Linked DNA regions of Drosophila melanogaster. The protein of the gene in region 2 purifies or fractionates together with the protein of the main gene of each other region. This does not show direct contact. Each region holds a gene or a part of one and is shown on either strand. Other genes may lie near its edges. The genes, in order: LRP1 and Mcr.

The links.
Region 1: the proteins of Mcr (region 2) and LRP1 purify together in Drosophila melanogaster (affinity purification with mass spectrometry, with the first as the bait; one large-scale study listed by BioGRID). This does not show direct contact.

What each region holds. Positions count from the first base shown.
Region 1 is NT_033778.4:8,172,426-8,177,288, reverse strand, and holds the start of LRP1 (LDL receptor protein 1), read right to left. Parts: upstream 3,125-4,863; 5' UTR 2,633-3,124; coding exon 2,458-2,632; intron 1-2,457. Other genes in the region: CG14757 (uncharacterized protein), read left to right, coding at 3,792-3,809, 3,920-4,116, 4,518-4,794.
Region 2 is NT_033779.5:8,079,750-8,084,670, forward strand, and holds the start of Mcr (macroglobulin complement-related), read right to left. Parts: upstream 3,234-4,921; 5' UTR 3,062-3,233; intron 864-3,061; 5' UTR 862-863; coding exon 14-861; intron 1-13.

The DNA.
Region 1 (4,863 bases), on a different chromosome or scaffold from region 2:
CTTTAGTGTTCAAGATTACTGATTAATTATAAACAAATAATTAACCTTTAATCATTACCCCCAATTCCTTATCAGTGTCCGATTCCGTGACTTCGTAACACACGAGCAAGATAAGAAATAAAGCCGGAATTATAGTTTCATCAAAAAAGTCACATATGCTATATAATCCATCTATTTTATTGCACTATTTCACTAGTTATTAACAAGATAGTTTTTTGTTCACCATAGCTTGGGCGAATTTTCAAAAATAGTTACGCTCATGAATTTATCGCTGGGGACAATCAGTGTGCTTTCATCACTTCTTCTGCCTCCGTTCGTGAACACAAATGAGGCGTGCCACTCCCACTTTGCATTCCGGTTTCCCGCCCCCTTTTTCCACACCGTCCGTTTAACGCGGACAGCAATTATTAAAACAGAGCCATTGGCGACATGATAAACGATTTCCGCAATATTTCCGCCAGCCCAGGATGGCCGGGGCAGAAATGGCAATGGAGGCAGCGGCGGCAAAAGGGAGGATTCACTGTAGGGTTGCAGGCAGAGCTTTAACCCCACCATCCCACCACCCCTCCACCACTTTATAGCCGCGGGGAAGAACGCTCACTGCGAAACACTTCAGCCAGCTACACAAATTTGTGCACGGGTCGCAAATTGTGGGTGCGTCGCAAATGGTTAAACTGTTCAAAAGGCCGCGGCAGGTTAAAAAATTAGACAGAACTCTTACGTAAATTGAAACAAAATGTAAAAATTGTAATATGACATTTAGAGTGAATTAAAATAGAGAGCTGATCTTAATAATTGTATTAAATCAAACCAAGCTTAATTGTTGAAAATGATTAGTTAATAAAGAGCTAAGCCTTTGGGCCAAAACAAATGCTATCTTGTTTTCCAGAATACAATTCTCTTTAGTAGAAGCATTAGCCAATCCATTTGTCTGGATTAACAAAATGCAAATTGGCTTAATTATGCGATTTGTGAAATGGCAAGTGAACGGCCTTGAAAAACACGATACAAAAGGAAATCTATATTGTAAATTCATACGATCTATATAAATAGCTGGACTTTAAATGGAAGCAACAATACACATTTTGTGCTCTAATACAGTGTTCGTTTGTTGTTTGCACTTTGGCGAAAAGATTATAAATGAGATTTCAAAAATAAAACATAAACAACAAGGTGTCATTAACATTTGTAGGTGCAGCTAGCTACTAGCTACTGCATTCATCGCAGGAGAAGCCGATTCTCAATCTGCGTAGGGATAGGGAATTACAGATCTCGCAGTGAATGCGAAATAAGTGCACAAGCTTAATAAATGAATAATCCGAGTCGCCTTCTAACTTTGTCGTTTATCTCATCCGTTACGTTGTCTCGTTGGATTTGTCAGTCAGACAGACAGACAGACAGACAATTCGTTTGATTGATTTCGGTGCCTTCTGTGCATTCGCTCTCTCAAATTGTCACTGAGTGCTGGCGTCGCATCGCTCGTCAAATGAGGAAATGCTTACTTTAATTTTATTTACTTCTGCGCGTTCCTTCTTCACAATCTTAACGAGATGGGGGCAGCAGTGGCCTTTGTGCGCAGACTTTTGGACCCCCGGGTCATGGATCATGTGCATGCATAATGCGACCGAGTCAAGAAGTCCATTGTATGTATGTACATAATTTATTTAAATTTATTTGTTGTTGCAGCGCAAATTTTCCGCGGTCATAAGTATTTCATTCGGTGTCAGCGGCTGACGCGAACTACGAATTATATGTATCTTTACTTGCTTACATGCAAAATGTCAAGTGATGGGTTCAAGTGTAACATTTCTAATGATTTTTAATAACTATTCTTTTCTCTTTGAATAACATATAACAATTAAATAGTGCAGTTTTTAATTAAATATAGACCTTAATTCAGTACATTTTTACAAGACTTATTTCTCTATAAGTCCTTCAACTTTTATACTTGAAAACTCTTTGGAAAGAATGCAAGCTCAATTACTTTTTTTTTTGACTATCCTCGAGATCTGCATCTTTGCATGATGGCCAAATATTTTTATTTAATTCTCGTTGCGCGAAAATTCCAACCGAAACCGCAAAAAAAGCGACAAAAATATTTTGCATACACTTGTTTTTGTTTCTATTTTCATTTGTTTTGCGGCATTTTGCGGCGAGAAAACCAAGGAATTTGCATAACAAAGTGAAGTGACGCTTGATGGGGGAGGGGGCATGGAGAAAGGGGAACTAACAGCATACAAAAACAGAGAGACAAAGAGACCGACAGAGAGACAGGATGGCAGACGGAGAGAGCAGTTGTTATTTTTGGCACAGCCAGTGTGATGGGAGGGGAAGCGGGGGAGGAGTTGTTTACTTAGGCCAGGTTAATGCACCGCAGATTAACAACAATTAAGATGCGGGGGAGCGAGAGGGAAGAGGGAGATAGGGAGATGAGCCAGACGGAGATAGCACACGTACCTTTATCGGGAAGGGGACGCAGAGTGGGGGCCTCCTGTTGCTCCTGCCACTGGACCTTCCTGTAGCCGCTGCTGCTGCTGCGACTATTGATGCGCCCGCTGCTGTTGCTGCTGCATCTTTCCACGGCGACCAACAACAACAGCAACAAGATCCATGAATTCGCTGTCGCCGGCATTATGCCGCTGGCCGCTCTCCTCACACACACGCTACCACGCACACACAGACGCGCGCGCGACTCTCCTTGTTGTTGTTCTTCTTCTTGCTCTCCTTCGTGTTGTTTCAGCCTTCCTTTTACACAATAACACAACACTCACACACTCACAAACTCGAACTCACACCAAACACACGTAAACCGGGGGTGGCAAGCAAATCACAAACAGGTAACTTTTTTTTACTTAGATTTCCATTGAAACATGCATTTTGTTTGTTTAATTTTTCGAAACGCTTTACGCGCTCAGAATTCGCTGCACATTAGTACACCGCACTCAATCACTTCAGCATCCCTCATGCCGCGATTTTCTTATCCGCCAAACACAACGGAAAAAAACAAATATTAACTCATTATATTTTGCCGGCTGTTTTCACCGAAGCGGCGTGATTTCCCGTAATTTTTTCTTCGACTTCAGCAGCACGCACGACCGCTCGATTCTATTATATTTCGATCTCTGCTCTGCGAGATTTGCGCGAAGCGACCGAACACCTTCAACTGCGTTTACCGATTGAAGCGCTCCAACCGGTTAAATACTACGCGCAGCTATTGAACAGTATTTTTTACAGCCGCGACTCCGGTCACACCGTCGATGTTTGTGTGATGAAGAAATTTAACAGTGCTGTTAATTGGCCACACAGAAATTGTAAGGCGCTAATTTCAAATTAATTTGATTTATAATCACCTCATTACTTTTAATGGGGATATTTGTTCCAAAAACATGTATAATCCAGTTCTACGTAATCGACGTTGTCGATGGTAAAAACACCACACACAAAACAACACACAACATTACTGTGATGCTTACTGTAATAATTATTTTATAACTCTTTTTAATACTATTATCAATGATTCCCGGATCTCTGGATGGGCGGCGAGGGCATGGCCGTCTGGCGATGCCATAAATATCAACAAGTGCTAATTAAAAATAAAACAGAGGAAGGCCCTTAATAAAAAAAGCTCTGTTAGACAGAGAACGCACTTTTCGTTTTTTAGTCACAAATCGAACGGCCGGCAGTTGTCAAAATATTTTGATTTTTCAAATTTTCCGATAGCTCAATACAAATCCAAAAATACCCACCGAACAGAAAAATTTTTAAGAATTCCATAATTGTCTGTACCCAGAATGCTGCGCCAACTACGGGTAAGCCCTGGAAATGTACCCGAACCGGTTGCATAAGACTGCAATTGAATGCAATTTATGCAGTTTTTCTACATATGTACATTTTCTATTTTTATTTTCGTAACGCCCAGTTGACAATGGATATTTCGGGTTGGATCTTCCTCCCGTGGAGACGCTCCATGTCCAACATGAAGGACTCTCCTCCACCGCCACCACCACTGGCCAGCACTTTCAACGACGTGATTGTGGACTACGAGGACCCGGATTATCTTCCACTGCCGGAGTATCCGGTGCGTCCAAACGAGCCGTTGGAAACTCGCAAGCAACGGTGGGTAAAATTATTAACTATTAATTAATAACTACTACTATAACTATACTTTACTTTATTCTATACTTTACTATACTTACTTTACTTATAAGGAAAATCATTAATTAAAAGAGCTCATATTTAATATATATATTTTCCCTTTGCTCTCATCCACCATTGCCTTAAACACTTCCATTTATGAACTCTACTTTTTTTTAAGAAAGCATGACAACCTCTATTTAGAAAAATTTATACTATTTTAATTTTAAAATGTAGAACAGAAAAATAGGATTTAAACTCCAAGTTTCTTTTTTCTTCATCATCGATCGCACTTCTTAATTTTGCATCAGTTGTACAACCAACTAAGCTATTCTTTCCATAAGTATTTTTTAATATTAACCAGAAAAACACTTCACCTCCAGGCTTTTGTACCAATCGCGCAAGCGCGGAATGCTGGAGAACGATCTTCTGCTGAGCACCTTTGCGGCCAAGCATCTCCAGAACTTCAGCGCCGAGCAGACGGCGCAGTACGACCAGTTGATCAACGGGGTCAGCAACGACTGGGATATCTATTACTGGGCCACCGAGGTGAAGCCCACGCCCAAGGAGTACGACACGGAGATCATGGGGCTGTTGAAGGAGCACGTCAAGAACGCCGAACGGGTCACGCGACTCCGCCAGCCGGATCTGAATATTTAGGCATGCACCTGGTGCTTATGAATATGATTAGTTAGAAGTTTATATGATCCAGGAGATCATATCCTTACC
Region 2 (4,921 bases):
TAATTCCACTTACCGCGATAGCCAACGTTTAAGAATATGCCTGTTTGGATCCAGCATGTACACATCGACGGGATTGTCAAATCCCTTCAGTTCGGTGGTGATCGGAATGGTCCTAAATCGCACAGTTTCCCCTTGCATATAAAGAGGCTTATCGGTCTGCACAAATATCGTCATGGAGCGCTGTGAGAAGTCTAGTCTTGTTTCGTTCAGGAAGGCGAGGCCACCGAAAACGTTCTGGTAGAAACCTTCCACTCGAAGCTTATAGCTTCCAGTCACACTAGTTGGTGGGATCCTCATGAGCAACGTCTCCGGTATGCCCTCCTTGACATCCTTAGAGTCTCCGCTGATTTGGACACCATCGCACGCGATGCTGGCATGAACGGTTATCGGGTACTGAGCTTGAAGAATGGATACGGACACCTGATAGATTAGACCAGGTCTGACCATTCGAGATGCCACAATGAAGTAAGTGGGCTCCCTGGAATGCAGCGATTCCAGGAAGGTGGCCTTGATGTTATAGGACGACTTTCCACGAGTCAGACTCGGCTCCTCGTTGTCCTGATAGCCTCCTCCCACTCGTTTATTATAGTCATCTTGCCCGGCAATATCGTTGTAGCTCCCCGAATCGGTCCTGTACGGCGGGCGATCACTGGGATTCGTTTGGCCAAAGTTTTGGTTGTTGTTGCTATACTGATTCGTCTGTGGATTGTTACCCCACTGCTGGTTGGGCAGTAGCGGCTGCTGGGGATTCTGCTGGTTCTGGTTGGGGTTGTAGTAGTTGTCGTTTTGTCCGACCGCCGGTTGCAGTGCATCCAAGACGGCGGCTACCACGAGCAGGGCGCGCAGCAAGTGCCACATCATTGCTGAGAGGAGAAGTCAGAAGTGAATGAATTAGAATCGCTGGGCATAAATGCATCTCCCAAATACTATAAATAGAGGCCTCTGATTTGGGTGATCGGCCTGTTCTTTAATGCCTGTCGAATAGGGTGTATCAATGGTTTTCAAAACAAATTTTCGAGTTTATTCGATTTTTCGATAAAAAATAGTAAGCTTTGTATGAAGTTTTTTTGTGATATTGAATAAGAATCACTTTTAACATCCCTGAATAAGCTGCTCTTTAAAAATAAGTGCATAACCTCCTACCAATACTTTGTTTTAAATATAGCCTGTAGTTAAGTACTTAAGATTTTTTTAAATTTTTCGCATATATGTATTTCCAAAGCACCCTAATCCCTAAGTCATGGACCGCATCTCATGTTCGAGGATTGTTGTTGGTCGGTTGATTTCCGCGTGATGCGAACAAGTCGTTAATGAGGGCGCCGACATCGGTATTAATAGACTATAGACGCGATCCGGCAGGAGCAATGAACGTATCTTCAGGGAGATCTTTTTAAGGGGCCAGCGGCAATATGGAAACTATGTCAAACATTAAGTAAAATGTCATTCAAGTGGGCGGCGCAATTAGACAGCAGAGATGTATGCCACGCTGGGATTTGAGGCGTTCGAATCTTCTTTTGAATGGGTTTTTAATGCCTTCGTTATTTATGGTTGATTTATAAGAGATTACGAAATCTCAGCTTCACAAACCACTTTGATTTTCGAGGAATAATTATGAATATACCCATACTATACTATAGACAATTTTTCATATCAATAATGATGTGAACTTTTAATTTAATCTACTTAAAATTCAAAAGTATGACAAATTGTAAGGAACGTTTGAACTCAATTAAAACAGTTCTTAGGAGTTCTTAAAAAATTCATTTTTAAAAATTATTTATTTTTTTTTTGCAAATTGCTGGTGGAGAAATGTGTGCAACATTAAAAAATGCGCATATTTAAGTATTCCAGCTTATCAGCACACAATCAGCCGGCACACAGGGAATACATCATTCGAGCAAGGACCTCGAAATCCTCCCTACTCAGGTATTAACTCCATGGTGTAGGGTAAGAAGTCAACGCTTAATGGCAACCATACAAAAAGGGTCCACGCCAGGAGAACAATGAGGCACCGGCACCGACTTCTAGACAAGTGAGGTGAAATGAAATTGAAGGATGGATGGAGGGAGTGCGTGTGTGTGTGTGGCTGGCTGCATTTGAAATGCATTCACTGGCGAGCAAATGAAGGTAAAGGTAGACCACTGGAACTGAGCGAAACACGCAAATGAAACAACCGGCTACCTGACCATAGATATCGGCCTGGGCGAGATACTCTGTGCACTGAAGCAGCAGAAGTTACTGGCCTATAGGCCAGTCTCTACTCTCGGCGGTGAAAACAAATACCGAACTCGTAATAATTTCAACAACGCGACTTGTAATCCACCCTTTGCGCACAGCTACACAGAGAGAAAATAGTTTACTAGATTTATTTTTTTCACCTTTTGAAATAAATAAGATCTTGATTAAATGGGATTTTTCATATTAAAAATATAAATATTTTTCATTATAAAAAAAAATATTGAATTTTGTTATTTAAAAAAATCTTTTTATAGAGTTTTCTTTCGTTTAAAAATGCCATTTCGGTATAACATTTCTATATAACAAATATATTTGACATCACTTTTTCCAGTGCAAGAGGGCGCACCAGCACCAGCGTAATACACAAGTAAAGTGGGCATTAATTAGCCGAGAAGACCCATTCGAAATGAGTTGAGAGGGCAAAAGTGCAATTGAAACAGCAGGCAGGACATTTTGGGCGGCCAAAGGAGCAACTGTTGGCGGAAATTCGAGAGCTTGAAGGCAGAAAAACGAAAGAAGACGCCGCAATCCAATTGGCCAGCAGGTGGCCAAAACGCCATCCTCACTCACATTTCCTTTTAGTGGCAAAGTGTTCCTAACGAAAAACTTCCTTTACAATTACTAATTAAAGCAACGAGCACATAGTACAAAGTTGTAACCAATATTTGAGGCACTTCTTCGTTTTTCGGTCAACGCCCATGTGCCAACAACAACAACAGCAACAACACAATAACACTGGCTTAGGCATTTTGGAGACGGCCAAACACACGATTTTTGGGCGGGTCGCCAAGTGGAAGAGCTCCGAAAAGCCATTTCTACTCACCTCGGTACTGAAATTCGATCTAATCTGGCTGCTCAGCAGGCCATGCACATTTTATTAAACAACAGAAAGGTAAATAAAACTAACTCGGGAACTCAAAGATTCGAAAAAATGAAACAACACAAAACCAACAGCGATCCACACCCGCTTTGATGACTGATGCAGTGTGACCGTTCGCAGAGATTGGCACAATACCAGATTTCAGGTGTGGCCAGAACGCTAAGAATTTAACGGTCGCACTGCGAGTTCAAACTGCTGATGTGAAAATTTTATAATTCCTAATGATTTTAATGTCATAATAAATTAGGAACAAAGGAAGTAAGCTCATAACGTTACAAAAGTTTATCAGAAAAGCGTATTTTTATTTATTAACTAAGTTTAAGCTTAATCTGCGAACCAGTTATAATTTACGTGTTTCCACAGAATTCTAAGAATAACATATTGCTAGAATATATGAGGGAATTTAGTTCTTAGCCTGGGAGTAAGACAGAGATGGCAAAACTTCATCCGCTCAGCGCCAGTGTTGGATAATGGCATTCTATAGTCTTTTTAGTATATATCGTTCAGTATTTTTGCTACTATTTGACTATAAGCCTTGGTCATACCACCGCTTCAGTTGTCTGTGTGTGTGTGTATTGTATGCATGTGATGTAAGGTCATTCGCGTGAAAATATCAGCGAGGAAAAAATCGAATTTTTGTGTTTTGTGTGCTAGGTAAATGCGAAAAATTGTGCAAAGTCGATCGGTTTAAGGCCCAGTCTGTGTGCCAGCGGTGAAAGTGTGAGCCCCCTCGGTCATTTACGTGTGAAAAGTCGCCAAGAAGTCAAAGGTGCTGGGTTGCCCAACGCAAAAATTATGACGAAAAGCACACCAGCACAAGTACCCATCTCTCTCTCTCTCTCACACACACACACTCGCACACGCAGCAGAAGCAAAAGCAGTGGAGCTGGGAGAGCTAGAACCTAGAGTTGTCAACGCTTTGCGAGGAATTTCGTCATTGAGCGGTGGCATGTGTGTGTGTCAGTGCGTGCTCAGTGAGTGTGTGTGCGAGAGTGCGTGCGTGTGTATTGGTAGTTTGTTCTCTTCATTGGTAGTAAAACACAAAAGAAAAATCATCGGGGAAAAATGTGAAAAATGTACATAATTCGTAACCCAGTCTGCGGCTAGTGCTCGCCAGCCAGTGCCCGAAAATCGTGCTGAGATGAAACACCGCGCACCGATTGAAAAACTATTACATAAATAGTGCAAAGTGTAAATGTTATTGAAGGCAAAAAAGCGGAGCAGCGTTGGGAAAAAGAGCCGCGCACGCTGTCGTCATCGCTGCTCAAAAAGCAAGAAGAAAGCGAAAAAGAGAAATATAAAGACACCCCCTTCCTTTGCCACAAAAGAAAAGAAATGAAATGAAAATGGAAACCCAGTAACTAAAATCCCCAACGCGTTACTGTCACAATGCCGAAAAGTGCTTAAAAACCATATCCGTGTCTGTGTGTGGGTGTTTTCCCTGCTCTGATGTACATACTCCAGTGTGATGCATGATGTACGATGTACTACACTATTCATGCCAATAACATTTTGTTAATACCGTAAATAAACTAATAACATTTAACGCGTGCGATTGTGTGGGTGTTGGGGAATACGGCCCTGCGCCTGTGTGAGTGACCTCGTGTGCGTGTGTCGCGTGCTCCGCTAGTGTTGGTGTATCTTTGCAAGTGTGTGTGTGTGCGGCGGCAAGGAGTGTCATGCGTATATTCTACCTCCCACAACCCCCTACTTACCCACCACCCCCACCCGCAACCTCACACCCTTTTCGAACACTGACCCACTCGCAGGGCCTATCCAACAGCAACAACAACAAAGCCAACA